3 linked regions of the Oryzias latipes genome follow. The protein of the gene in region 1 purifies or fractionates together with the protein of each later gene. This does not show direct contact. Links are inferred from orthologs where the notes say so. Each region holds a gene or a part of one and is shown on either strand. Other genes may lie near its edges.

Evidence for each region.
Region 2: the proteins of asna1 (region 1) and bag6 purify together in Homo sapiens (co-immunoprecipitation; 5 studies listed by BioGRID and IntAct, with this or other methods). This does not show direct contact. The link is inferred for Oryzias latipes from reciprocal best matches to the Homo sapiens genes GET3 and BAG6.
Region 3: the proteins of asna1 (region 1) and ubl4a purify together in Homo sapiens (affinity purification with mass spectrometry; 4 studies listed by BioGRID and IntAct, with this or other methods). This does not show direct contact. The link is inferred for Oryzias latipes from reciprocal best matches to the Homo sapiens genes GET3 and UBL4A.

What each region holds. Positions count from the first base shown.
Region 1 is NC_019859.2:35,302,100-35,310,999, reverse strand, and holds the end of asna1 (ATPase ASNA1), read right to left. Parts: intron 8,441-8,900; coding exon 8,293-8,440; intron 7,349-8,292; coding exon 7,200-7,348; intron 7,114-7,199; coding exon 6,963-7,113; intron 6,890-6,962; coding exon 6,782-6,889; intron 4,088-6,781; coding exon 3,890-4,087; intron 3,807-3,889; coding exon 3,678-3,806; 3' UTR 3,016-3,677; downstream 1-3,015.
Region 2 is NC_019874.2:28,116,683-28,127,280, reverse strand, and holds the start of bag6 (large proline-rich protein BAG6), read right to left. Parts: upstream 5,952-10,598; 5' UTR 5,827-5,951; intron 5,069-5,826; exon of another isoform or gene 5,067-5,068; 5' UTR 5,060-5,066; coding exon 4,979-5,059; intron 4,894-4,978; coding exon 4,776-4,893; intron 4,536-4,775; coding exon 4,321-4,535; intron 3,170-4,320; coding exon 3,098-3,169; intron 3,003-3,097; coding exon 2,880-3,002; intron 2,814-2,879; coding exon 2,623-2,813; intron 2,095-2,622; coding exon 1,962-2,094; intron 1,867-1,961; coding exon 1,666-1,866; intron 1,588-1,665; coding exon 1,359-1,587; intron 1,225-1,358; coding exon 1,174-1,224; intron 1,099-1,173; coding exon 746-1,098; intron 681-745; coding exon 608-680; intron 525-607; coding exon 232-524; intron 145-231; coding exon 1-144. Other genes in the region: glrx3 (glutaredoxin-3), read left to right, coding at 6,003-6,983; uncharacterized protein LOC101169638, read left to right, coding at 9,800-9,913, 10,110-10,249, 10,572-10,598. UniProt on the Homo sapiens protein: ATP-independent molecular chaperone preventing the aggregation of misfolded and hydrophobic patches-containing proteins.
Region 3 is NC_019867.2:16,991,969-17,002,302, reverse strand, and holds ubl4a (ubiquitin-like protein 4A), read right to left. Parts: upstream 5,876-10,334; 5' UTR 5,728-5,875; coding exon 5,680-5,727; intron 4,490-5,679; coding exon 4,384-4,489; intron 4,296-4,383; coding exon 4,090-4,295; intron 3,894-4,089; coding exon 3,786-3,893; 3' UTR 3,302-3,785; downstream 1-3,301. Other genes in the region: dynamin-1-like protein, read right to left, coding at 67-405, 495-615, 844-1,006, 1,153-1,239, 1,330-1,401, 1,491-1,537, 1,730-1,768, 1,949-2,090 and 1 more; cGMP-dependent protein kinase 1-like, read left to right, coding at 6,979-7,165, 7,238-7,355, 7,533-7,699, 8,098-8,211, 9,510-9,615, 9,823-9,886, 10,048-10,125, 10,248-10,334. UniProt on the Homo sapiens protein: As part of a cytosolic protein quality control complex, the BAG6/BAT3 complex, maintains misfolded and hydrophobic patches-containing proteins in a soluble state and participates in their proper delivery to the endoplasmic reticulum or alternatively can promote their sorting to the proteasome where they undergo degradation.

The sequences.
Region 1 (8,900 bases):
TTAACCTGTAGAGATTGAGCTGCATACGTCAAACGAGAGATTCCTTCTGCTTTTGTAAGCAGAACTCTGCCTTTCAAAGACAAATCTCTTTGCAGCCATTGGTTTAGGTTTTTTTTGGTTTTATCTATTATTGGAGAGAAATTTGTAGAACATCTGGATTGCATATCTTTAGTGATTTGAATACCAAGGTACGTAACAGATGTTTTTACAGGAATACCTTGGATAGATGTAAGTAAACAGTTTTTAACAGGCAGAATTTCACATTTATTTAAATTAAGGGTAAGTCCTGAAGCTTTAGAAAAGGATTGGATAATATTAATCGCCACAGCTACTTGTGAAGCGTCTCGGAGAAAGAGAGCAGTGTCATCTGCTAGTTGACTTATGAATATTTCCCTCTCAGCCACAATTAAACCTTTTAATGGGCTGAGTTTGATATGTAGGTTGAGGAGTTGAACAGAAAGAAGAAACAGATACACTGACAAGGGGCATCCCTGCCTTACCCCACGTTTCAAGAAGAATCTAGGAGAAGTTCCGCTGGCGAGTTTTATAGAACTATTACTATTGACATATAAAGTTTGAACAGCATTCCAGAAGAATTGACCAAAACCAAATTTATTTAAAGCAGCAAACTTGTTTTTTTCTTTGTAAGGGGGAGCTGTAGCGCCTTAGAGCTGGATATCCCTCCGCCGGTGTGATTCCGCAGGAGAAACATTTCTTCCGGTGGGTGTGCTCTGAAGCACAGAAGTTTACATTTAAATAAAAGTAATGACTTTTTGTTTGTATTTTCCAAACGCTGGTAGCTTCGCGCCAACGTAGCTCAGCGTTTTTCTTTTGTCATCGCGTCCGGATTTGAAGACACTATCTTTTCAAAGTTTTCTGCTTGGAGGGATTAATGTAGGGGTAGGGAGAAGCCAGAGGGGTAGGGAATGAATTCGGGTTCGGTCAAGAGCAGAAGTTGTGTGCCCAAACCATCACACCTCCACCTCTGTGTTTTCCAGAGGGTATATGAAGTCATTCCTTCAGACACAGAGGTCGCTGACTTTAACCATCCAAACCCTTCAGGACAGACTAAAGACTTTTCTCCCAATGGTTTTTACAGTTAAGGAAATAAGTGTTTGTTGCTGATTTTGCCCACTTAAAAAGAACTTGACAGTCCGCCATCCCTGTTGTAAAGGCCTATCATCGAAACGGGACTTCCCTCGGCTGATGCACATGAAATGAGGAGGGAGAGGGAGCTTTGATCTAAAGCCATGGTGACGAGCTGTAACAACGTTCTCAGCAAGTTACGTACGTTTCTTGTTTGCTAACGAGAGACCATTGAGCGCACGTACAGGTGGATGTTGCAGCGTCCATCACTGACGACCTCCCACACGCGACATATAAGTGTACTCACCTGCAGAACCCAGTTCTGGACCTTAGATGAATCATGGATGTGAAAAGACTCAAAACAGTCTGCACTCGGCTGTGGAAATTCAGACTTCAGCGGGTTTTTACTGACACCCTAAAGAGACACCATCACATCCCAACTAGTCCTTTTCTAGGATTTCCTTTCTTTCTTTTAAAAATCCCAACAGTTCATTTGAACACCTAGTTAGAAAATTAAAAAAAATCCACTTTTAGGAATGCAAACATTTATTTGCATTTCATTAAGGAACAAAAAAGTATTTGATCCTTCCTGGCAGCAAACCCTCATCATCATCATCAGCAGCAGCAGCAGGTCAGAGGTTACTGGTAGTTGATGATCAGGTTTCTGCACAGATCAGGAGGAATTCTGCTCCACTCTTCTTCACAGATGATTTCTAAATCATTCAGATTTGGTGGCTGTTGCTTAGCAACCCTGAGCTTCAGCTCTGTCTATAGGCTGAGGTCCAGAGACCAGCTGGACCGCTCCATGACCCTGATCTGACTCTTCTTTTTCGTCTTGTATGTCTTGGGTCATGATCCTGTTGGGGGACCCATCCACCCCCCCCCCCCCCACCTCCCCATTTAATCCTCCTGGTGGAGGGAAGGACGTTCTCACTCAGGATTGGACGGTACATGGCTCCGCCAATCCTCACAGAGAAAGTAGCCCTGTGCAGAAAACACCTACCCCAAACCATAATGCTTCCACCTCCATGCTTGACAGTGAGGACGGCGTTCTTGGGGTCATCGGCAGCATTTCTCCTCCTCCAAACACGACGGCTTGAGTTGATGCCAAAGAGCTCCATGTTGGTCTCATCTGACCACAGCTCCTTCTCCCAATCTCTGTCTAAATCCTTCACACATCAGGCGGGTCTCCACATGTGTCTTCTAGAGCGGGGGGGACTTGTGAGCTCTGCTAGATGTTAGATGTAAAGCATCACCAATGAGATCCTCAACTAACTCCTGATTTCTCTGTTCTCATGATCACAGAAACCCCACCAGGTCAGATCTGGTTTGGAGCCGCAGACCTACAGGAGGATTGATGGTGATGCTGCACCAACGGTTGTCATGGTAACCTCCTGCTTCTTTGTAGTCCAGTCTGGTCTGGTGCAGGTCTACAATCTTCTCCTTTAAATCCACTGAAAGCTCTCTAGTCTGATGGACTGATTCTGTGGACAGGTGTCTTTTCTACAGGTGATCAGTTCAAACAGGGGACAGACGGTTGATAAGGAGAGTCTAACGGGTCTGTGTGACCCAGGACTCTGAATGGTTACCAGGGGATCAAATACTTACTTCTGTCAATGAAATGCTACTGTACATTAATACTTTAAGGTAGATTATGATTGCATGGAGCTGCAACCCCCCCTCCTACCCACCGGTGGATTTCCCACTGGCTGTAACGGTTTACCTGACAACACTGGGGTGAAGTAAATGAACCCTTCAGTCCTTCCTCTGACGGCTTCAGGCAGGACGACGGCGAAGGAATCCCCTTTTCTCAGCGGGGGGTGTTGGTGCAGGTTGACGGGCTTCATGCTCCATCAGAGACAATCTGCATGCGGGTCAGTCTCCAGCCCCCCCCACCACTGGCTTAAGGAATAAACAGGAGACTGCCAGTTGAGGCAACTGCGTTTAATTCTCACTGCCAGTTTCACTTAAAGAAAACCTATAGAAAAAGATTCTCGCCGACTCAGAAGCCTTCGTTGACGAAGAGGGGAGTTTCAGAGGAGGAGTTGACCTGCGTTCTACCTGCACATTTCTGTGTTCTCAGGTGTCACGGTCCCGTGGCTGAGCACTTTGCTGAAGGACAATCAATGCAGGGATGTTGAGTGGAAACCATCCCCGTATGGGTAAGACGCCCGCCGTTTAGCTTCATTCCAAATGTCACTGGTGAGCGCCGGCTTTAACGCCACGAGCGCAGAGAGGCGGGGACACGTCTGCTGCCACGGCGGCCGGAGAGACCTGCTTTCTGATCTGCGCAGACGCGTCTGCTCAGAATATGGAGAGGTCAAAAAACAGTTTTATTTGGAAATAAAAAAACACGTTCACTGGAATCACCAACAAGTGCACAGCAGAGGGGGCGGGGCTTGTTGATCAGATGTGGAAACACACCGAGACCGATGAAGACCGGAGGACGGGATGGGCGGCGCCGTCGCAGTGCTGCGGGTGGGGTCCCCTCCCTGCGGGGGGGGGACGGAGCGGATTGCGCTGAGGCTTCGTGAGGATCTGAGGGCGGCTGGAAGGAGGCGTCAGGGTGGAGGAGGCGTCTGCGGGGAGGATCACTTGTTTGGAGGCTTGTAGGGTTCCAGAAGTTGCTTGGAGAAGGTGTTAACTTTGTCAGCTCCTCGCACTTCGTGGGGCAGAAGAGGCAACTTGACTATGTGGAAATCCTCATAAAGGTCCTCCATCTGTGAGGAAGAACACGGGGCAGAAATGAGCGCGCGGATCCCACCTCACGCCGTTTCACGGCAGACGCCGGGACGCTTCGTACCTGATCCAAGTACTTGGACTGAATTTTGTGGCGCGCTTCACACATCTTGCAGGGCTTCTCGGCGTCGGGGAACACCAGCTGGTTCACGATGATGTTGTGCGTGTCGATGCGACACTTGGCCAGCTCCTGGATGAGCCGCTCCGTCTCGTAGAGGGAGAGGAACTCGGCGATGCACACGCAGATGAAGGTGGTCTGTTCCTGAAGAGAGCAGGGAGACATTCGTCAGAACCAGACCTGGTCGTCAGAACCAAACCCCAACAACAGAACTCGACTCTGGTCACAGCCGTTATAAAATTTGGTTCTGACGACCAGGCGGTCGTCAGAACCAAACTCCAACGACGGAACACCAGAGTCGAGTTCTGTTGTTGGGGTTTGGTTCTGACGACCGCCTGGTCGTCAGAACCAAACCCCAACAACAGAACACCATGTACATTACTCTTTAAAAGAAAAAAGCTAAACAATGGGGGGACTTCATTAAAAGACTAAATAAGGGGGTGGTGACGGAGGCCCCCCACAGGGGGACTTGCTTGGAGTGAGCCCTCCGACATTTTCGGACGCTGGTCGCTTTGACCGCAAAAGCAAAACCCGACCCGGTGCGGATCCACGGAGGAGACGCCACGCCCACGGCGTTAGGCGTGCTCTGTGTTCTCCTCGCAGGATGGTTTGCCGCGCCAGAGACCTGGGATTTAACGCTGCCGAGATCTAAGCTCCGTCATACCAAAGCACAGCGATCGCTTTACGGGATGGTTGCTGTTTGTTTTTAAACTTTGAAGTTTCCGGAGTGGAAATGACTAACATTAAACTAAAATGATTGCCTTTGAACTGACCTATTCTATGTTCAGTATGTTTGGGGGGGGGGGGTTAATGTAAGGAAATGATGCACGGGTTACGTCTGCTATTGTATTCATCTGAGAATTGTTTCTCCACATTAAAGGCCCGTTCACACCGGGACGAATTTTGCCGGCGTTTTTCGCCGACGTTTAACGCCTCGTGACTAAACAAAGGGCACTAGGGTTGGGCGATGTCCCCTAATTTGGCTGTTGACGGTGTTTGCTGTCAACCATCGGGATAGACGATGACATCGTCGGGGGGGGGGGGGGGGGGGGGGGGGGGGGGGGGTGTTTACATTTTTCGTTCTTATATAACTGCTATTCGTTATTTTGCTTTTATCATTTTATTTCCCAACTAATGGTTAATCCGCGATGATCCAGTATAAACTGAGGGAAGTGACTTTAACAGAAAAAGTAACAAACAAAATAGAAAAGAAGTAATCCGCTCCCGCACTTAACTAGCGAAGTGGACCGGTGGAGGGCGGATTTACAGCTTTGTGTTTGATGGGAAGGGGGGGGGGGGGGGGGTACATGAGCGGTATGTGTGGGAGATTTAAGACTGCGATCCGTCCCGCAGCTCTAGGGGTACAAGCAACCGAACTCAGAACCGGGTCTAAACGTGTGTCTGAGCACAGCTCGGATCGTCAGCAGACACAGCGGTTTGAGCTTCAAAGCAGAAATGTCGCTCAGTCCTTAGAAAACATTCAAACAATCACGTGGATTTGTGTTTCCAGTCGTGTCCCGACTAAATAAAGGCTGCATGCTGTTATTCACAGCATGCAGCGCCACCCAAAGCTAATGTTGTTAGCCCGTGTTAGCATACTGCTAATCCTGGCTACGTTCAGAAAAAGCACTGACCACACGGATTAAAATTCAAATGATGAGCGAACAGGTGTTTGATAATAACCGTAACATTATTAAAAGCAAGTTTAGAAGATCATCTCGTATTTTACCGAGCTGACATGTCAATGTATATAGCCGCTCGGCGCTGTTATCGTTTTGTATTGAATTGTTACATTCAATAAAGTTTGGAAAAAAAGCCGCTCGGCGGAAGTTGTATCCTCTTCCGGTTTTCAAACTGCGCATGTGCGAATACTGCGCATGTGCGAATGATTTATTCCGACCGAAATTGTGACCTTAGTGAACGTTTTTATATTCTGGAAAAAAATTTCTGGGCCCATCTACACGGTTGGATTCTAATCCGACCATTGATCCCATCAAGATATTTTGTACATGTAACCGCGGCTTATGGTGTCGACGCGCAACGTGGCGGGGGCGTGGCATCACGATGGTGGTCTCTCCATCGGGATGTCAGTCACCCATCACGATGGACGATGATATCGTCCATCGGCACAACCCTAAAGGGCATCAATGTGAGTGTGCACACCGACGCGAAAAAACGCCACGCGTCAAAGCGTCACTTTTTTTAAAAACGCCTCGGGTTCGTTTTTTTGGTTTGATGCGCCGCGTCGAAATCTATTCGACCAATGAGAATGGCGCTTTTGCACACGTGTCTGGAGCTTCTGAAGTTACAGTAAAACACAACTTGGGGGCGCTCAAACACAAAACTGCCTTTCTGAGCACACATACCAGCGAAGAAGATAGACGCCAAGTAGCGTCTACACTGCCGCGAAGAAATAATGACGGACATTCTAAAATATCCCCGAACCAAGCACCAGTTGGAGCTACTGGTGCTTGAAATATTCATGTTTTCTTTGTATTATTCTGACAAGCGCGTAAATACTTGCTCTCTTCTTCTGAGTGAAAAGCAACTTTAAGAAGCGTAAAGTTGTGCAGCGCCACCTTGTGTACAGGAGTATTTCTGTTTACATTAAGCGCCATCTAATGTCAGGGAATGAAATTGCATGTTCGTTCAGCTCATCGTCAGCGAAAATCGCCTGGGTGTGAACACAAAAGACGTGGCGAAAAACGCTGGCGAATAACGCCTGGCGAATATTCGTCCCGGTGTGTACGGGCCTTTAGAGCTTCTATTTTGTGTGTTTATTCTTTAGTAACTCGACTAGTGAAACTGGAAGGTGAAGTCCTGCTGAACGTCACTTACGGGGTCTTTGAACTGCTCGCTGACGGAGCGGATGACCGGCAGCGTTTCCTCCAGCTTGGACGCCAGCTGGTCTGCGTTCATGTCACCCAGACCCAGCATGTTGCACATCTGGAAGAGGGAATCAAAAAGGTCGACAGCTTCAGCTGGAGAACGTCCTCCAGTGGCGCCGCCGCCGCCTCACCTGAGAAATGAAGGGGCTGATCTGGTTCTTGATCTGCATGAGGCGGCCCAGACCTCGCTCCACGATGGTGGGGAAGTTGAGCAGGCGCAGCGTGTGGCCGGTGGGGGCGGTGTCGAAGACCACCACCGAGAAGTTCATTCCTTTCACTAACCTTACGTTCAGGCACACAAGCACGCTCAGTTACTCCTCACAGGGACGTGCAGCGAGCGCCGACGGCGGTCCCGCCGCTCCGTTTACCTCATGACCTCTGCGTAGCTCATGGCCTCGTCGATCCCGGGAAACGCGCTCATGGCCTCCTGCATCATCTTCTTGCCCATGCTGAGCATGTTGTCCTCCTCGAAGAACTCGTCGGGCAGCTCCGCCACGCCCAGGCTGGGGTCAATCTCCTGCATCGGCAGGGGGAGGGGAAAAAACCCACGAGGGCTGCTTCAGTTACCGCCTTCGGGCGAAGCTCATGACACTGAGCGCATGTGGAAAGAAAACACCCTCATGATTCTGGAGTCATGCTGGAGAAAATCCACAAACAGAGGAGCTAAACACAATCTCATGCTGCGATACAAAACTGAATTAACACAAAACACACAACTTAAAAGGGCCTGTGTCACGCTAAATTCATTCATACTTGGTGATGGTAGCTACTGATGCAGCTGTGGCTGCATCAGTAGCTACCATCACCTGGGGCAGACGGACAGGGGCGCGGGATCCAACCGCCAACCCTTCTGATCACTGGACGACCTTTGGCACACTAAAGAACAATTGTTTTTATGAAATACGAGTTATTTTTCTCATTTTTCTACCCAGAAGTAAGACTTTTCCAATCTCTAAGGCTCCGCCCCTCTCTCTTTGTGGGCACCGCCCATCTCATGACGTCATCCTAGAGCCGGCCTCGGCAGCGTGTCTGCGTTCCTCCAACGAATCCAATCAACATCCGAACTCGATGTGCGTAGAAAAGGAAAGCGATTAGCCGAGAAAGTGGGCGCGTGAGCCTGGGGGAGGGGCAGACTACCTGGAAAGGGGCGGTTCCTCACTTTGTGACATCACAATGTGAGAGCCCACTCGTTTTCGTGGATTGGGAGGGGCTAGAGCCCAGAGAGCAGGTTTTTGGAAGAATACTCAGAATTGCATGAATGGATCAAAATACCACTTGTAGAGAGGAATGAAGATTATAAAACACTTTAAAAGTTTTTTTTTAAAGTTGATTAGGTTTGGTTTAGGCCCTTTAAGGAAAAAACTGTGTGGTTTTGTCCGTCACACTTCAGTTTTTTCTTAAGGAGTTAATACATAACATTGAAAAGTCAGAATTGAACCCCCGGCTTGGACAAGGACTCACCATGGCGAACAGGTTGTCGTAGCCTTTGACCTTTGTGGGCACCTTGGAGAACTTCTGGTCAAAGGCGTCAGAGATGTTGTGGGCCGGGTCGGTGGAGATGATCAGGACGCTCTCCCTGACCGCAGCCAGCTGCACGGCCAAGCTGCAGCTGCAAAACACAGGAGTCACGGGGTGAGCTACTGCGCATGTCAGAAGCTCACACACGTCACGTGAGACAACAAAAACATGTAGCTAACCAATGATTAGATTTTGTAAGAACATATAGCCAAAAGAAAAAAAGGTGTATTGAATGCTTTTAAGTTACTCTTTTCCTTTTAAAGCTCCTAAGATACATAATTACACTCAGAAACCATCCGGAAACACCTGTTTCTATCCCGCTGTCGGGATCTTCAGGTGTTTGTCACCTGTGCTATGAATGAAAGCGGCTAACGCTAGCTGCTTCATCGCGCATCTTCAGAAAGGCGCCACTTGGCGGCTTTCATTTATTTAAATTTACAAACTTGTGTAACGGTGACAGAAAGTGATGAGCGGGCCTGACATGACGTCAGACGCAGACGAAGGCGCGAGGGGACAGACGTTGGAAAACAGAAAAAAAAGAACGGTTGGAC
Region 2 (10,598 bases), on another chromosome or scaffold:
CAGCGTGCTCAGGACGCCACGGACGATGCCGGTGAACAGCTCCGGGTTGATGGACTCGGACGCGCCTGCAGCCGGGTTGGGAGCAGAGGTGGCCCCTGCAGCGGGGGCTGCGGGGGTTCCAGAGGGGGGCGTGGGGAAGATCGGCTGGAGGGCCACAGAAATACAGACGATCTCAGCCGGGAAGAATCACCTTCATCGTTTCTGTGCTGTTTTCACGCCGCAAACACCCACCTGCTGCATGAACTCACTCATGCCTTGGAGGAAGGCGGGGACTCCGGACGTGGTCACGGTTATGGAGGGGGCTCCGCCACTGGCACCGCCTAAGAGCGAGCTCATGAGCTGACTGATGTCGGGGGGGATTTCCTGCGGCTGGGGCTCGCTGCCGCCGGCCTCCCCTTGGTCCTGGGTGGGTGGGGCGTTTGCAGATGGAGGCATTGGACCCGAGGTGGAGAAGGAGAAGGAGGAGGAAGTCTGAGAGGAAGAGGAGGATGTGGACGCAGTGGAAGAGGTGACCGTTTGACCGGCTGGAAAAAGCAGAAGTTCCTCTTTAACCATTTAGAAAAGACAACGGTCTTTTAATTCTTCTGGTTACGAGTGAGGTCATTACCCATCTGCCCCGGCAGCAGCATCTGTCCCACCAGCCCGGTGATCATCTGGTTAAATGCCACCGGATTGAAAGCCTGCGAGGAAAAGGCCGTCAGTTTCCTGCATGAATCAGAAAGAGTCCAAACAGTCGGCGCCCCACCTGCCCCTGCTGCTGGCCCGGCATGGCCGCCCTCACGTTGATGGTGGTTCCACGGGTCCCGAAGGCCGGGGGGGCAATGTTGGTGGTGAAAGAAGGTCGGGTGAACACCACCCTGGCTTGAGGCTGCGGGCTGGCGTGGGACGGTGGAGGGGGAGCGGTTGGGGTGGTAGTGGGGGTGTTGGGACCCGTTGTAGCAGCTGAGGAGCTGGGAGTGGAGCTCTGACCAGGAGGGGTGGGCTGGGGGGCGGCCGGCTGTCCAGTAGCAGCAGCGGTGGCGGCGCTGGTGGCGACAGCCGCCGCGTACTGACTGATCTGCTGCATGAGGTTCCGCATGAAGTCCGGGGGCAGACCACCTGAACGGGGGCAGAGGGGACAAGGTCAGAAGAATATGATCCAGAGACGGAAACGAAGCCACAGCCGACCCTCACCTGGCTGTGCCGGGATCGGCTGTCCCCCCGCTGCAGGGCTGGGGCTGGGACCTGCGATCACAAACACAAACACGTCGGTCATTTCCGGAGCGTCATGGATGTTGCAGCCGAAGACTTCAGCGGCAGCTGCTGAAACCCAGAACTGCTGCGATGAAAACTCAATCAGCGCGTCTGGGACAACACACCGTCCGCGTTCATCTGCATCATGACCACCGGGACTGCCTGGTGGCTGATCCTGATGACCCGGGGGCCAGCCTGTCCCTGTCCCTGTCCCGGCGGCTGATTGGACGGGGAAGTCTGTGCGGGGGGGGTCTGTCCCTGACCTGCCTGCTCCGCTTGGCCGGACGGTTGTGTGGGCGGAGCCTGTCCCTCAGTGCTGTTGGCCGCAACAGTCACTGTGGCCCCCAGGTTCATCTGTGAGTGAAGCGCAGAGAGGTCAGTGGAAGTGTGCGAGCGGGGGCACCGACCTGAAAACTGACGACTGTGACGTACTTGTACTGGGACATGGTGATGCACGGCGCTGGGCAGAGTGACCGGGCTGGCGTAGTGGGAAAAGGGCCGCACCACATGCAAATGTCGGGGGATCGGGCTCAAGAGGTTCAGTCGAAGATCACTGAGGGCAACCAGGGCATTGCCAAGGAGCCGGAGACCTTCGCACATCTGGATGAGGGTCCTCTGGTCGTCCTCCCGCTCCTGCACGGAGAACAACATAAAAATGTAATATTTAGTCACGCCAACACAAACATTACAGCGACAGAGCGCCTCGTGATGCAGGGGTGCTGCATTACTGTGTCATTGTTGTACTCGGCCGCCGCCGCCGTCTCCAAGATGCCGTGCGCTCTCTGGATGAAAGGCTGCAGCCTCTCCTCGACTCTCCGCAGCTCTGACAACATCTCTGCCAGCTCAGCGGGGCTGGGGTGACTGCAGGGGTGGGGGGGCAACGACAGCAAACAAATAAAACAGATATAAAAATAATTTATCTACTGTAGACTAGATTAAAGCTGGGTTAGAAGTACATTTAGTTAGTTAAGTTAAGAAACTTTTAATATAAAAAAAACCCGGAGGATATGTCATAAGGTTGGATTTTTATTTTAATAATTATATTTTTTAATTATAAAAATGTATCATTTATTAAGGAAAGAATCTCCTTTGTTTAGTTGATATCTGTCATGTAACAAATGTTTTCATAACTACACAAAAAACGACTTTAAATGAAATTTGAAAAATAGATTGATATTTGACCAAATAGAAACATAAATTTGAATTATTTCAATATTTTGGTGGAACCTCTAATGTTTAGTCTAGAGGTGTGGGGATAAGAAAACTTATCAGCTTCTCAAATCAATAAATCGTTGGTTTTATGAGCTGATCACTTGTTTAAACAGACGGCCTTCAAATATCATCAAACTAAATAAAATTCTCGTGAATCTTTTGAATTCAATCTCTCACTTGGGTCCTGGCTGTGGAGTGGGTCCCTCAGACTGAGCAGAGAAGGTGGGTGGAGTTGTTGGAGGAGGTGAGGTGTCCATGGGCTGAGTGGAGGGAGAAGGGGTGGAGCTTGTGGAGGAAGAAGAGGGAGGAGGCGGAGCAGCAGCAGAGGCCGTCTCTGATTGGGAGGTTTGGGAATCGCTCTGTCGACCCTAAAAACGACAAATGTCAGTGAATGGCGGTTGGGAGATAAAGACTCCTGTGGCGCAGTGGCTCGCCTCCATCCTGCTGATGACATCGTTGAGGTCTCGCAGCAGATTCTCGGCCAGAACCAGCCTCAGCCTGGGTTCGCTCTGCACCGGCTGGTCCATGTCGATGTGAACGTTTACAGACCCGTTGCTCTGAGAGCAGTCACAACAGGAAAGAAAAGGTTTTTGTTTCAAATCCTGTTTTTTGACGAGCTTTTAAAGAATAGAAGGGAGCTTCTATTACTTACTCCAGTACTGGCTGTGACTCGAGCATTTCTTGCATTATCTCCCATTCCAGAGACCATCTGCTGAACAGACATCTAGGAGACACAAGAATCACACAGCTTTAATGTACAGTTAGTGTCTTTATTATATAAGTATTATATACTTTATCATATCATTGAGTAATTTTCGGCTTAAACCACAGTCTTCAAGCAATCACAAAGTGGACTAAGAGTCATAATTGCAATTGTTATTATTTATTATTTTACTTTCTCCCTCTTTGAGACCTAATTAGACCCCTAATATGCATGAAAATCCGCAAAACTGATTCAAAAATTTGTCATAAAAAGTAAACGATTTGTTCTCTTCCAACAAAAAAAACTAAGTAAAATTGGGCCAGTAAAACCTTTTTTTTATATATATATATCCCCTAAGAAAGAGCCATCCAGTAAAAATCATTAAATTTCTTTATGCTCCATCTTCACTGATGTCATGGACCATGGAATGTAGAGGAGCGGGTGGGGTTTTACTGTGGCACCATTTTCAGATGGGGCTGCAGAGTTAGAGGATGAGCATCACGCCTTAATCCTGTTCTGTTGCAGCACAGGCCGAGGAGAAGCTGCTGGGGGCAGCAGACAGACCTGGGGGGCTGTTGATGGGCCCATGGTGCAGGGTGGCAATGGTCATTCAACAGTCGTTGCAGCTTTAAATGTATTTGTTTTTAGGATAATTTAGCAAACCCATCAAGATGACATGAACAGAGTTCATATGCCGGAGTCTCTAAAGTCCATCTTTGTCCATTTTCCCTTTAACATCTCCACACAATATGATCGGACATAGTGGAAAATGCTGAGATGAAAACAATGCAGAGATCACACAGAACAATTCACTTGTGCTCTGCGTGATAAACCGACTACATCTAGATGGTTTTAAAATCTGAAATCAATCCCTGTGGTTTTATTTTCACTTTGAACGAACCCATCTGACTTTCATGTCATTTTGATCCAGAAGACTTGGTCCTTTTAAGAAAAATTTCCTGCAGGTTTGTGATCAAAGGTTGTTAACAAAAGCAGACAGCCTCATGGCAGATTGAAGGCAGCCGTTTAGAAAAGTAATGTTTCAACTTGACTGAACTCAGATCTTCATGCCGAAACACAGAGTTTAGTTGCCCTGAGCAACTGGAATCTCGTCATCTGTTGAGCAGTGCTGCCTTCATCCCTGACAACGCACACCAACAATGCAGACCTACCTGTATCTGCTGGGGGTCCATGATATTGACGGGGAGGTTGAAGGTTCCAAGCATGACATAGCTGTTGGCATTGCGATCGTGTGGAGGCACCTGCGATGCTCCCTGGGAGGATGAAGACTGCCCGCTGTCGGCTGCGGTGGCCCCTGACCCCGAGCCAGGCTGGGAGGGTGGAGGGGGGGCCCGCTCCACAAGGTGAATCACCTTTCCAGCCACATCTACAAGAGTAGCGGAGAATATGGTCAGCTAAAACAGAAGCAGTGGCAAATCAGCAGAAAGAGCAGATGGAACCAAAAACTAATTCAATGACAGAATTTTTACTTAAAAGAAATAGTTTTGAAATGCTCCTTGGTGGTGTGATTGAAAGGAGGCAGAAGGGATGTTCAGATGGAGAGACTCCCTGAAGCAACAAGCTGAAAGGTTAAGAGGAGGAAGATTTAATATATCCTTTGACTAACTGTAGTCTGCCAGCGTCCTTTCATCCTGCAGTACTCTGCCCTGGTAGATGAGCCTCTGTTTGTCCACAGGGATGCCCACTGAAGGAGAAATGTGCTCTTTGAACTCTTTAACTGTCAGCTGCAAAACAATGGATCATTTCAGTCAGATCATAAAAGACAAAAGGAAACTACCCAAATATTTACAGCAGGAACTTTCCATTTACCTGAGCACCGACTGAGTAGGTTCTGCTCTGAGAGTCCAGAGTTTTGACCGTCACTTCTATGTCTGAGGTTTGTTCATCCATAGCGTTCCTGCAATTGTATTACATCTTCAATTACAAATTATTCTGTTTATGTGACTTTTTAAAGTGTTTGTACACTTTTACAAAAATTTTGATAAGCACCAGGTTATTTAACAATCTGTTCAACAAGCATGGTGCGTCCACGGCATGTTTATAAGTTTATGAAGAACAGTGAGCGTAGTTTCCAATTTTTCAGCAATCATCTAGATCACCTCTTCTTTTTAACAAACAGGCAACGTTGAAGTGAATTTATTAACCAGCCTTTAGTCTAGAAAATAAAATCTCTAACTAAGGAATCCGGATAACTACAATCAGCTGAATTATTTAGCTCTAATTTAAAATACATTATTAACTGAGCTATTTCCTAAACAAGAATTTTAATAAACATACAATTAACGTAAAATAGCATCTATATCTTTATGTTAGACTCAGTGGGTTAAATTTGATTTAATGCTTTGTTTTTTTCCCAAAGACGGACTCCCTGTACTAGCGTTAGCCAAAAACAGTTAGCCCGGCTGTATTCGCTAAACAAGGACAGGAGCGATGTAATATTAAACTAAGATTTAGGACAGACAGTATAACAAAAGATAGAAAGTAACATATCGCCACTTGCTCTTCAGCAGGATTACTTTTTTTAGGAACCAAATAAACGCCGACTGGCTAATTAGCCAAACAGATTAGCTAAAGATGCTAACTGATCTGTCGTGTCGCTACTAATGCTTAAGCGCAGAACATTCCGTTTTTTATGCGTCACACCGTCAAACGCTTACCTTTTAAATCATACAATGTTTTTTAACGTATCCAGAGTCCACAGGAGGCTCTTATATTCAGAAAGCCGAGCACTTCTCCGGTGCGTCGCGGCTATGCTACAGCTAACAGCTTTTAGGGCTGAACGGATGTGACGTCAGAAAGCCGCCGGACTGCTGTCGAGGTCAAAGAAGCAAAGATGGCGAATGTGCTAGAGGCGACGAGCCGACAACAGTTCGAGGATTTCCTTGCAAAAGCTGGAAAAAACCTCGCGGTTGTACATTTCCAGGCGGCATGGGCTCCTCAGTGCGGCGACATGAACGAAGTGATGGCCGAGCTGGCCAAGGCACACGCGCACGCGACGTTTGTGAAGCTGGAGGCGGAGGCTGTTCCCGATGTGTCGGAAAAGTATGACATATCCTCCGTCCCCACTTTTATCTTCTTCAAGGGGGGTGAGAAGGTGGATCGTCTGGACGGGGCGCACGCTGCGGAGCTGACTAAGAAGGTCCAGGGCCTGGCGGGTAGCGGGCCCGCCCCAGGAGGAGCCGCGGACGGCGGCGCCGCGGACTTGAACCAGCGGCTGAAGAAGCTGATCAACGCGGCGCCCTGCGTGCTGTTCATGAAGGGCTCCCCGCAGGAGCCCCGCTGCGGCTTCAGCCGCCAGATGGTGGCGCTGCTCAAGGAGCACAGCGTCCAGTTCAGCACCTTTGACATCCTGTCAGACGAAGAGGTCCGTCAGGGCCTGAAGGCGTACTCCAACTGGCCCACCTACCCCCAGCTGTACGTGAACGGAGAGCTGCTGGGGGGGCTGGACATCGTGAAGGAGCTGGCCGAGTCCGGGGAGCTGGAGACCACCTGCCCAAAGGCCGTGACCCTGGAGCACCGCCTGAAGGCCATCATCAACCAGAGCCCCGTCATGCTGTTCATGAAGGGCAACAAGGAGGCGGCGCGCTGTGGCTTCAGCAGGCAGATCCTGGAGGTCCTGAACTCCACGGGGGTGGACTTTGACACCTTTGACATCCTGTCGGACGAAGAGGTCCGTCAGGGCCTGAAGGCGTACTCCAACTGGCCCACCTATCCCCAGCTCTACGTGAAAGGGGAGCTGATCGGGGGCCTGGACATAGTGAAGGAGCTGAAGGAGAGTGGGGAGCTGGAGTCGGTACTGAGGGGGGAGTCGTAGATGGACGGGGAACAGGACATCACTGCACAGGCCTGCACCAGCTGCTGCACCCCTCAGAGGTCCCAGGAGGTCAAAGAAGCTGCTCGTCGGCTTTGATCGTGGGAAACGTTCTTCTTTTTTCACAGACTTTCAGATGACGTGAAGCTGCTGACTCTCCATCCTCATCTTTATGACAAGAACACCACCAGAGAAGCTGAAAATCTACTCATGTTCACTGCAAATTCCAGCCTATAATAAATTTCCCATCAAAATAGAACAAAACGTTTCTATTTGTTTTATTTTTTGCCTGTAAAGAGGTGAACTGGCTGTAGTAAACTGAGTTTACTTTGAAATGAGAAAAAAGTTTGAACAGAGCTCATGCACTAAAGCTCACACTCAATAAAATTGTTAAAAGCAGCAGCATGTCACGTTTGTAATACATGTGGTATAGTAAGCACGTGTGACAGGTTTTCTGGCGCCACCTTGTGGGCGTAAATGTAAAAGCACCAACAGTATCAGGGTTCTGGAACCTTTCACATTAAAAGAACCCAGCAAGAGCCATGAAGTCCAACTTCACTGTTATAAAAAAAAACACTTTATGTTTTTGTGATCATTTATTAATTCATTTATAAAATGTAGCTTTGAAATATTTACAATTGCATTCTAAAATGTATTGTTTTATACACGTAATAAAATTGAATCTATTTTACTTTAGACGGCAGCACATACAAGTTCCTTTCAAAATAAAACACCCTGTGTGAAAAAGCTCCGATTTACTTGAATTTAAAATACATGTCAATCATGACATTTTCTGTCATGACTTTGGGGTGCCTTCGTCCTTTTTCTCATTTCTCATTTTGATAACTAATAGAAACGTGACAGCATTGGTGTAGAATCCTTTTTAAAAAATCTATAAATGTACATGTACCTATGCACTTGAGTACCTTTGCCTCTAAACAGCAAAAAAAAAACGCTGCTACCTTATTCTACCAAATCTTTCTGACAGTAAATGAAATAGCTTACCATCATTTTTGATCAATCGTCTAATATATTAAAAATCCAACCTGAAATGTCAAACTTAATTAACCGTAATTAATAGTAAAGCCAAAGAATGCAGGGATAAAAGTAGCATGTAGTTCTGGAGCCTCAGGTTTCAGACCTCTGGTCTGTTCACTGAGTTTTTTTGTAAAATGATATCACCAGGAGTTAATATTGCATTTCTATTATTTCAAATCGAGTTTTAATACCTAAACTTACTTTTAGTATAAAATGCAAAAAAAGGAGATACTCATTAAGATTGTTTAAACATTTCCTAGTAATCTAAAGGAAAGATGAAGCCAGATTTAAAGGTTTTGTTAAAATTTTACAACGTTTAGAAGATGGATTATGTAAACACTAGGCTTCAAATGTTTAAAGATGGGTATATAGTAGAGTCTTGTTAAATATAGAGCTACCTTAAAGTCCCACTCCAATCTTTTTTTTTTTCAATCCATCGTAAAAGTGTTCCTGGTCTTTTAATTATGATTATGCCGAGCAATAATGGAGCTGTCCAGCCGTAGAGTTTAGATCCAGATTCTGCTCAGGGGTGGAAAATAAAGATGGATCTATTTGTCTGACAGTGGATGAATCAGAAAGGAATGGAGCAGGCAGCTAGTGGCCTGCCTAGGGTATTTTCTACATCACAAATACAATCTTTTTCAAATAGCATTTTTCTTCTGCTCCTATTTCCAAAAGAAATACTCAGAAATGCAATTTTGATCTGAATTTGCGTCAGATATGTCCTTCATCATCAAAATGTGCCACAAGAACACTTTCAAAAATCCAAAAACTATTTTTTTAACTCGAGTAGGCATTTAAAAAGATTTAGCTTAGATCTGATTCTGGCTAAAAACTGCATGATAACGATGAAGATGAATATGTTGAGGTTCTTTTAGGGAGTGAGGACATCAGAGGGACAGCATGTTAGAGGATTTGGAGATAAAGTCAGAGAGGCCAGACTGAGACGGTTCGGACATGTGCAGAGGAGAGACATTGAATTTATTGGTAGACGGATGCTGAGTCTAGAGCTGCCAGGCAAGATAAAGACCAAAGATGAGAATTATGGATGAACGAGGACATCGCTGGTGTTAGAGGAGAGGATGCAGAAGACAGGGTTTCGATGGAGGAAGATGATTGACCCCTGAGGGGAAAAGCAGAAAGGAAGAGAAAAGGAAGAATAGCTTAGAACTGAGATGTCAGCCTCAAAATACTTGAAGAAAGACAAAAGGAATAATAATATGATTTAGGTGTTAGAATGTGACACTTTGACCAGTTAATAAACACCTGTCTCTTGTTAGTGGAGTTTTAAAATGAGAAATGCCTGCAGAAGTTCTCTCAGCGTGTCCACTATTTATTGAAACATTTTTTAATGATCAGTTATCATTTAGTCTCTGAGCTCTTCCTTCTGAGGCATTGCTTTTCCACACCCTGATAGTGATTTCTGGTGAAGACAGTGCAGAGTAACAGTGAGAACACGCAGGATTGCTCCGCTTCCCTGACACTATAATCAATGGCTCGACCTTGACGAAGATGCGACCTCCTACATAAGGCTGACTCACACAGTGGAAACAAGGTGGGCTTTCTCCTTTCAGAGGATTTTGGCCGAGGAGCGAGTCTCTATGTTAACGTGCGTTTCACTTCAGCGTTTATCTAAAATGCTTATGGGGTGTGTGTGTGTGTTTTTTAGAAATGTCACGGCTGAGGAACACACGTTAATCATTGACTTAACACCCACACTCTGTTTGAGTTGCACGCTGAGATGATTTTCAGTTCAATCTGGTTTGATTCAAACTGCAGACATGTTCAACGAAGCCTGGTCGGGTTTTCTGTATTTATGTTCTCTGGCCTATCAGGCCTTGGTCCCCTGCACACTTCCTCAACTGTTGATGGTGAAGACCATCAACCATCAGCAGGTGAGAAATGAACAGATCATTTGGTTCTTCAAAGACAGATCCATGAGCTGGGCTGCAGCACAGAAGCTCTTTCCACTCCCCCGTCTTTTTCCACATGGGGTCTTTATTGTACGGCCCGCTGTGGGTTTATGAAAGCAGCATCGGTTTTTAAGCATCCGCTCTTCCCTCACTGTCACTGTTTCTGTTTCTATTTCAGTATCTGGGAAAGTGGTATTTCAAGGCAGCTGTCAGTCACCGGGAGGCCGACATCCAGAAGTTCAGAGTTTTTGACAGCATGGTTTTCACCATCGAGGAGGCGGCTAATGATACGCTGGTCTTGACCGGAAATATGCGCATGTGAGGGAAAAAAACAATTCCAACTGAAAAATACCTCCATTATAATCAGAAAGATGAGATCTTTTTGTGTTTGCCAATATTCACACCTGGAAAGTGACTTCAAGCCACAATGAAAAAAAGGGAAGTTTGGAAAGTTGATAAAATAATACATTTAAAAAAGGTAAAAACTCCCAAACTGATTAATTTTGACAAAAGGTAGAAAAATAAAAAAAGTTAAGATGCTATTAGATCAGTCAGGAAAATGAAACAGAGAAAGTCTTTTTTTAATACGCAGATTGGTTGATGGGACACTTAAACTTTTTTTTTAAACTTATTTTTGCAGGGGAGAAGATTGCATAAAACAGAGCTG
Region 3 (10,334 bases), on another chromosome or scaffold:
AGACTGTTCATCATCATTGAGACATTTGTTTTAACAGAAAAGACAATCAAGTGAGGTGATACTCACAGCTCAGATGTTTGGATGTGCCTGGCTGTTCCCTCTATGGTGTTGCAATAATCTGTGGCAAACTTGGTGACAATTTGCAGCAGAGTGGCGCTGTGGTCCTCCACAGGTTGACCATAGCTGTTGAGTCGTGCCTGGTACTGGGAAATGAGTACTGTCACTCGTGTTTTGAGCTCTGGCAGGCAGTCCCTGATGTGGTGCATGAGCAGTTTACTAAGAGTTTTTGCGAGGTAACGGGAGCCCGCTCGGGATACGAGTGAGGGGTAGTGGCGCTGCAGGAAAACGTGCTCGTCTTTAATCGAGTCCTCCAGGCTCTTTTGAGTATTAATGTCATGCTGGCTCCTAAAAGAAGACAGGAATGGAGGTTTCATAGAAGGCTGATGTGGTAGACTAAGCTAAAATAAGACGAACATGTATGATTTCTTTCACACCTGTTGACCACCCCGATGATGCCAAGCCTTACAGGTATGACTCTCCCCAGGAGGACCTCCAGCGCATCAGTTCCAGCATCCATCAGGTCCAGTTTACTGACCACCAACAGCGTTCGACGACCTGAAGAACCCAAAATCTACGGATCAGACCTGCAAGTTCTCAGCATGAACGAGGACTTTCAAAGTGACTGTCAGGAGCATTTGGACTGGAGAGAAATATCTCAACCAAAAACACACGGAGACAGTCCTGAACATTATGTAATTTAAAATTTAGATTTGTTATGCAAGAAGCACATTTTAACAAAAATCCTCAGAGAGAGAAAAAGGGATTGTATTCAAAATGTCTTACCATCTGGATCAACCTCACGTGCCAATTTCAGAGCATCAGAGGTGGCCAAGTCAGAATTGGCAGGGGATACTGCGAGGATAAGAGAGTTTGGATTGGAGATGAAGGATAAGATCATCTCTTGCACTTGAGCCTCAATGTTTTCTGGCTGGTCTCCAACAGGAACCTAAAGCAAAAACAAGAGGCATTCAACATTAAACCCAGGCAGATGTTTGGATGAAATGAACATGGATTGCAGATACAGATGTTTGCACAAATCAAAAAGTAAAGATAAAAAAAAAAATTGCATTTTTGTCAGATTACTGAGTTCACCTTGATAATTCCAGGTAAATCAACCAGAGTGAGATTCAGAACTTTGGGGGAGAATATCTTCAAATATATGGGCTCACAAGTGATTCCCTGGAAAACAAGAAAGAAAAGAAAACATGATTATTATGTAAAACCAAAATATTGCAGGTCAGTAAGGTTATACAAAAGCCTTTTTCTCACTTTGTTGTCCCCCGAAGTGCGCTCTGTCTCTGCTTCGATTTCTTTACGAATTTCCAGAAAATCTGTGAAGATCTGTTAAGAAAGGCACACCCATCAAACATCAGAAAGCTTGCAAAACAAAGGAAGCAGAAGCATAACAAGAATAAAAATGATGAACATACCTGGTTCTTACAATGCAGAAATGTGCCCCATTCTTCAGCTTTGACACCTGAATAGAAAATAAGAGCATAAAAGTGTCAGGGATGAAGAATTAAAGTATAAAAGAATGGAATATGAATTTAAAAAAAAGGATTTGGCAAAAACATAATGAAAATAAACTGAATTAACTAAATGAGTGAGACGGTTAATGGTAAACATGAAGAAGTAGAAACTTTTTCTCATGCAGATCAAATATAGTGACCTGTGTAGCTGTTTTGAATATTTTGTTTAAGCCCATTTCCTAAAAAGTAGTAAAGAAAAAGAGGAAGAAAATGTGTTAGTTCAGAAAAACCCTGTATCAAAACCAAGTGACAGAGAGAAGTGCATAGAAAGATTTCAACATAACTCAATGCTGTGAGAGAATTATAAGCCTAAGTGTTTTACATCGAATTGAGTTATCATTGAGTCATAATCTGTTTACCATGCTCATTCTTCAGCCTTTCCTGTTGTGGAGCAACATTGACGAGCTGCAACACAAGGGGTCGTCTTGTGACTATTCCAGATCCCCGAGGCAAAAAATCCCTTCCGACCAGGCTCTCTAGCACTGAGCTTTTTCCACTGCTCTGTTATAAAAACAACGACAGCACATGAGTAATAACAGGACATCATCTATTTTTAATTTAAAAAGAACTTTTTAACTAGAACCCTGAACTGGGTGAAACCATACTTTAGTATACATCTACTCTGGATGATTATCCAATAATCAAGACAAGATAAGTGTACAAACACAACATTGTTTTCACTCAGTTTTCCAATTCTGGTTTCCATCCACTGACCTGAGTCCCAACCACGACTATCTGAGGCAGCTGTATGATCTCTGTCCCGACCGTCTGAAAGACCTCTTGCAGCCGGTTGATGGTGGGAATCAAAGTTTCCATCTTTCCAGTCGTCTCTCCTACTGTTGGTGAACACATGAGGGATGTGAACAGAAACATCAAGACACTCAACAACGAGAAACAAGGCTGTTTGCTTCATGGATGCAACCATCTCTAACATGTTTAATTGATAACCTTAGGCTTAGCTCTAAGGAACAGGATCTTCAGTTTTCCTCCTCTGTGGCGCGTTGCTATCCTACTAAGGCTTTTCTCCAGGGAGAAGTGGTCCTGATGATCATGATGAGAGGACTCAACGCCTCAACTCGACCAACATCGGATACAATGTACTACTTACTAGCTTGAAGGGATTTGAAATTTAAAATTAACTATTGATTGCCGGTAGCAAAGGTGACAGCACGTACATTTTAGACATTTGTTATCGACAAAGTCCGAGGTAATAAATGTTATCTGCTAACGCTCGCTGGATGAATGCAGGAAGTACAGTATGTGCTGCTAGCTTCATGCTAACATTAGCTTACTGGCCATAAATAAATAAATAAACCCGATATTACATTCTTACCTTTTCAGTGTTTACGAATATATCCACCCCTATCCGACTATTCTATGTTTCATACTTTAAATTATGCTAAATATGTTTAAAATACACCATTTTATAGGAGCTGGTTTACAAGTAACCAGAACATAAAGCACAGACCAAATGCTTGGAAAGAGGGGCGGAGCGTTGGTGGCAACCCACCTGATTGGTCAAAAAACATAGATCACGTGTCTTGCTATTGCTTCATTGGCTCCCTTAATTGTTCTCGCCCAGCGGTAAAATAAAATGTCCCGCCTTGCGACATTCTCTTCAGTCTTCCTTCTCCTTGTTTCCAAACCGGCAATATTTACACAAAACACAACTATTTCTCACAATACAACGTAAAAAAAACAAAAAAACGTAGTAATTTCTTGATCTTTTATTGTCGTCATATATAAACAATATTTACAAATCGCACAATGGCCATCTGAACAATAAAAGATGTGTGTATTCTTTTATCCCACGTTTAAATGAAAAAAATAAAATAAAAACAGGCATCATTCAACGCTGACATGAATAATAAATAGTCTCAAGTGGAAGTTAGTGTTGCCTGGAATTGCAGCAGCCAGAAATCAAGCAACATTAGCACGAAACAATGTTTTTGTGTTTTGATTTTACACAAAAAAAACTAGTCTTTCAACAAATGGTGTCAATATTAAAAATAGAAGAGAAAACACACATGAGAAAGCCCTATTGCTGAGATAAACATTAGTCACTGACACAAGTCAGCAATATCAATAATCACTGATTAGGCACACATTGTATTCTCAATGGCCTCACATTTATTTTCCCAAACATGTAGTTTCTCCTAAATCTATTCATACAAAGTAGATTTAGGTTTTCCAATGCTAGTCCATGTAGGAGGTGTCCATGCTCTCGCTGTCAGGGTGAAGCAATCGCACTGCTAGTCGTTCAATGTCATCCAGGCTGAGCTGTCGAAGTGAACGTTCATAGTCCTAAAAACAAACAAAAACAAAGTTTAGTAATAACAAAGAGGAGCTTAACTGTCAAGCTCACAACATGACAAATTATTTTAAATAGTTAAAATAGACATTCGTTTTGTAATATAATTTATATAGTGGGTTTGAAAGGCAGTAACAGAACTTTAACCATTACAACTTTTGGGAAACCATGAATAAAAACTTATCTTACCTTTATAAGCTGTTCATGAACTTTTGCTGCATCTGCTGGACTGAAGTGTCTAGCAAGTATAGTGGACACAGTCTGCCACAGTCCTCCCATGTTCCTGCTGCTGCAGCCAGTCACTGCTGAGGCTGCAGATCTTTCTCCTGCAGGACGGATTACTAGGTTCAATTTAGCCTCTGGTCCAATGGAATAATCACTAAGTCTGTGTTCATCTGAAAGAAAAAAGGGCATACAGAAAGATAAATTATGAACCTGACAAAAGTATAAAGGAAAGAAAAAAAAGTAGTAGGCAAATTTTACCTGCCAGTGCCTTTCCTTTGTAAAGCAGCCGCTGCTGGTTTGCTGGTATGTTGAGTTGCTCAGAAACAAGTTCCTTCACTGTGGAAACCTTTTCATCTTCTGTCACCTGTGGGATAAAAACAAATTCTTAAACTGTAATTTAAACAAGAACAATAGAGTCAACTGGTATAGAAAGACTGCGGGGAAAACAAGTTCTAAGGATGCAATAATAAAAAAAATGAATACATAAAAACAGTATTAAACGGGCAAAATAAATAATTCATTTTATGTAATAAAGTAACAAAGTACCTATTGTGAAAACGTTTTATCAGCTCAAGACAAAAACATTTGTTACAATAATTCAAAACAATTACAAATATATTGTTTATTCAAAGCCTTCGTATTTTTTTCGAAATGTGCCGAAAACTCACTGTCTTGTCTGGGATAAAATTCTCGGCTTAAAATCTAATTCAATAGATGTCTTAAATGGCTTTGTATGACCAATTTTAAGTGCACATGTTTGACTTAATCTGAAGAACAGCCATATATAATGTATAATGTGTAATTACCGCTACACTTTAAAGTTGGCATTAAAGAAAAAAAACATGATCATAAGTACTACGGTACTCAAAATAAGAACAACACAAAACCAAAAAAATGTTTTGGTTAAAAAAAATTATAAATAGAATATATAACTACATAATTAAAAAAGTTAATGAAGTGCTGTGGAGTTTTAAAATGATTACTTTATGTAAATGAAAAATATATACAATTCTAAATTTGTGATAAGAGAAGCAGGTTCATAATGCTGCTTTCATGCAACTGTATGTCTTAACTGATTTGACACAAAGGCACATCCAGGAGCAGCAAATATAACTGCTGAACTGTAAAATAATACCAACACCGTTTTTTGTTTCAACGCGCTGACCAAACAAAGTCCTCTAATACACCGCGGTTCCTTACTCACTTCTCTTTACTGCATTAGCACCAAGTAAGGAGTAACAACAACTTCCACTCAGCTGCTGGGCGTGACCTCAGCGAGAATGATTCAGACAGAAAGAGTTCTTCGTCTTGCATTTCTAAATTAGCTAACATGCTAGCTGCGGTAAAGCTGCTTTAGAACTATAAACGGGTGTGTATATGTACAACCGCATCTTTAGTACTGGTTAGTGTTAGAGTTACAGTCACTAATAAATTAAATTTATGTTCACTTTATTCAAAGCACTTTAAAAAACTTATGATGCTGAGCGGCTAACAGATATACCCGGCTAGCTGATTGTGCAAATTAGCATTATGGAGTTCGATTTTTTAACTAACCTGAACACTGCACTCCTTCCCTTGAAGTGGCTTTACTGTAAGAATCATTTTTCAACACTCTCACTAAAAACAAAAACACACAATAATGTGATTAAAGTCCAGCCAAAAGGGTTACTAAGTTTGCTCGTTATAGCCACACTGGCTGTGGTCCCGTCAGCGTCCCATCTTCTTCTCCTGTTTCCTCTCAACGATGCCACTGCCTCTGTTGCTGACATCAAGTAATGCTGCTGCCGCCTACTGGCATGAAGGATGTACCGCAGCTAAGAAGAAATGACACCACGATTAAAGTTCAATTAAAAGTTTATCGGAACTAAAGTGGTTAGGCGATGATATCCAAATTGATCTCCTAAGCAGGATACTGTGCCAATACACCTGTACACACATGGGTGTTTTTTTTCCTTTGACAGACAAAAAACATGGTGATAAACTTTTGTCATTACATTACATTTGAATAGTAACGTGTTTGTCAATTTGAAAAGAAAATTGGATCCGACTCACCTGTAGATTACTGTTACAATTTACCCATAATTACCTGACCACCTTCTATTGCTTATGTTCAATACACAAAAAGATTTTCACAAAAAATGCGTTTACAGCATTGACATTTTTTTAATGTCCAAAGTCGGGCAGATGCTCGTTCTTTTTTCTTTCCGAAAGCAAAATTTAGTGTCAAATTTTCCCATTAGAACTACTTTCCTCTGACCCAGTTCGGATCCAGCCTGTGCATGTGTCATTCTGTTCCCCCTCCTCGTGGTTGGAGGGAGCCCGCGTCACGTGACCGCCTGTCTGCGCTGTGGGCATTCCTCCTGACCAGCATCCTTCACTTGAGGACGCCAGGCGGACTGCTCACCTACACCGGTGAGTAGCATTTGTGTACCATCCATCAATTAGGTGTTGAAAAAACAATGGATCTGTGGCTGAGTGTAATTAAATTTAAGATGATAAAGACAATTTATCTTTGTTATTGTTTTTTTCTCTTTTGACAATTTTTATATAGCCTACATAAAACCTTGCAGCTTCACATAAAACGTACATAATAAAAAAAAGTATAATTTGTTTACTCTGAAAATGTATTCTTTTTAGTGGGATAAACTTATGATGCACTTGACAATGAATTGTTTTTGCCTTTAACCTGGATGGAAATGTGTGCTACAATTGCAAGGCAGCATTTTGACATAGATAGATATGCATAATATTTTTCATATTTAAGTTTGTGAAATAAAAAATTACAATTTCTTTTTTATTCTCATAGCAACGAGCTGTTTATCTTTGTGCTTTCCTGGCTGATGCCTGCAGATCATGGGTACACTGAGGGACCTCCAGTTTGCTCTGCAACTAAAAATCGAGGAGCTCCGCCAGAGAGACACACTCATAGATGAGTTGGAGCTTGAACTGGATACAAAGGATGAACTCATTCGAAGGCTACAGGAAGAACTGGACCGTTACAGGACCACTGTTTGCCTCTCAGGACCCTCACCCAGTGCAGGTAAAGAGTAGGTCAATCATTTAAAAGTACAGGTTGTAGACGTGACCTAAAAATCTCAATTATTTTTTATAGCTCCTCAAATTGAGGGCATGGAGCGAGCTAAAAAGCACACAGTCATTTCAGAACCCTTCAGCCCGGACCCCGTGACTCTCGCCAGGATTTCACACAAAAGCTGTGACAAAAGTCAACAGTAAGAGCACACTGTGTTCCTCCAACTTCAGCTAAGAAGGCCAACTTTTCAAATTTTTTAGCATCACTCAATGGTCAAGCATTTTGAGTCAGCATTTGTGGCTTGTGGCGCGGCATTTAAGGTGATTGACAGCTACACTCGGAGTGTTGCATCTTTATCATCCCTGTGTGTCATCAGATCTCAAAGCCTGATCCAGGCAGGGCTTTTGAAAAACGACCTGTTGAAGAACTTAGACGAAGGAGAAATGAGAGCTGTCACATCCTGCACATATCGCTGCTCCATCAATCAAAACTGCACTCTCATACAGGAGGGGAGCGCTGGGGAGCAGGCTTTTATTTTAGAAGGTAAATTGCTGCCATCTGTCATCCTTAAGATTATTTATTAGAGGTTTCTTGTGAGGAAAGTGGCTAAAATAATTTGTTTTCACCAACAACTGCTTTTTAAAACTCATTTTGCAGCTTGTTTTTTTTTTTTTTTGCATTTGATGACAGCTTTATGGTTTAAAGCACACAAATAGCTCCCGCTTAAAGACGGGGAACATGAACAAGAATACCAGGAGAAAAGAGGTCATGAACTGAACGTAGATTTCATCAGAGAGGAAGCTGCCTCCTGCTTTCAGTCTTGTCACTTGAACCATCTTTTGTGCATGAAGTGCGCATCAAGCTGACAGTTACTTTTATCCGACATGGATTCTATACTATCAATGTGCTCCTTTTTCCTACTAAGTGTGTGATGTTGACAGAAGGAAGATTGAGCGTGACTCAAGACGGGTGCAAGCTGCTGACAATTGAACCAGGGGATACGATTGGCGAGCTGGCACTCCTCTACAACTGCACTTTCCCCTTTTCTGTCTCTGGTAAGTTGTGGGATGATAGGATAAGATGCCTCAAAGTGGAAGCATGCTCTTTGAATAATTCTTCAATCTAAAATCAACAAGGACAGCTTTTGGCTTAAGTCATTTTGACCGTAAAACATATTTTGATTTGAATAACCCAGCACTTCTCTTCCCTGCAGTTCTGGATTTAGCGACACATTTCAACCCATTTTGTCGACCTTTTTAAAGATTTGTGATATTTTCATGACATAGTAAGTGTCACATCCTTTCTTCATATCTAATCTTGAAGCTCTATGGGGGAAACTCTGTCGTTACCCCAAGCCTCTGACCTGGTTTCACAAATAAATGCAGAATCTCATCCCATCAACCCATTTTCTGATCTATTTTGGCGTCACAGGGCTGCCGGAGCCCATCCCAGTCACTGTTGGGCAAAGGTTGGATATACCTTGATGGTTTTTGCGGTCCATTGCAGTGACACACACATATTCACACCTTGGGACAATTTAGAGTCATCAATTGACTTAAGATGCATATTTGTGGACACTGGGAGGAAGCCAGAGTGTCTGGAAAAACCCACACATGCACTGGGAGAACAGGCAAACTCCACACGGAAAAGATCCTGCTGGGATTTGAAGCAGGACCTTCTCACTCACTATGAGGTGATAAGATCAATTTGTGGGAAAAAAGAATTTCAATCACTATCTATGAGTTCAATTATCTTAATTGACTTTATGAACCAGATTCCTGCTTCTGTGAATATCCAGGCTGCCGAGTGTCTGCTTTCAGTCTGCTCTTCATCTCATGTAATTCTTTTGTTCGTCTGAATGATGATACTGTGCAGATGGCAGCATGTAATCAGGAAGAAAAATGATGAGAATAGGGAGAAAAATTGTGCTTCAAGACAAACAATTTGGTGAAGCTGTAAAGTGGAAGCTCACGGTTAATATCGGAACATTAAAATTGAAACGTTTTGAGTCGCACCGTTTATTAGCTGCTGGATCCACTCTGACTGTCTCGACGATAACATCTTTTATTTGCAGGAAGCTTTTGTGAAGCAATCAATATCAGCACTTACTCTTTTACACCATCGTCAAACGCTGAATATAGAGTATTTATTGCTAAAGGATTCGATTTATGTCTTGTGAAACGACAGCTATTAACTCTGATTTACCCGCTTGCTTTTTAGGTCTCAGCTGATATTTAATTGTGAATCTCAAACCACTGCAGGCGGCATGTACTGTCTCTCCTCAGCAGCTTCTCCACTTTACTTCAGGTGTCGCTGACAACAACCTTCACATTTTTCTCTGCTTTTGTCTCAGCACAATCGGACTGTAAGCTGTGGACTATTGACCGCAAGAGCTTTCAGACTGTGCTGATGCACTGCAGTCTCAGCCGCCTTTCTCATTCAGTGGAGCTGCTCAGAAGGTGAGTGTCAACCAGAGAAATCGAACAAAGCAGCCTCAGACGATGAGTTTTAATTCACGGAACACCTCAAGGGTTTTATTTTTTTGTCGAACATCTATATTAAATGAAAACGATTTTGTTCCCAATAACTGTGAAAGGAATAACATGTCCACAATGTCAAGTTTGACTTTTTTGAACATTTTCTATTTCTTCTTTGTGCGTTTGCAGCCTTCCCCTCCTGCAGTCATTGCCAGAGGATGTCATCATGAAGATTTCTGAGCTCATGAAAGAGGTGAGCTCCTCAGATGTGTGTTACTTTTAACAGAACCTGCATGTCCAGACATGAAGTCCATTTACAATTTGAACTTTCTGCATTGCTTTGACTGCAAATATTCAAATGCGTGCCGTGTTCTGCTTCCTCTTGTCTCCTGTGATTTTTTTGTCTTCTCACAGACATATTATGCAGATGGTGAATATATTATTCACCAAGGATCTGTGCAAGTCAACCTTTATGTCATCAGCAAAGGACAGGTAAAGTTGCACTTCCTCTGTCATACGTTTGATTCAAACCTAAATGGAGAATAGCAAAAATCTGATGAGAAGGTACTTTGTAGTAAAATACTCTTTCTCTTTTTTCTATTGAAACCTGACAGGTGACTCTGACAGAAATGAGGGCGGGGCATGAGGAGCACACAGTCTTGTCTGAGCTCTCTGAGAAGCAGTGGTTTGGAGAAAAAGCG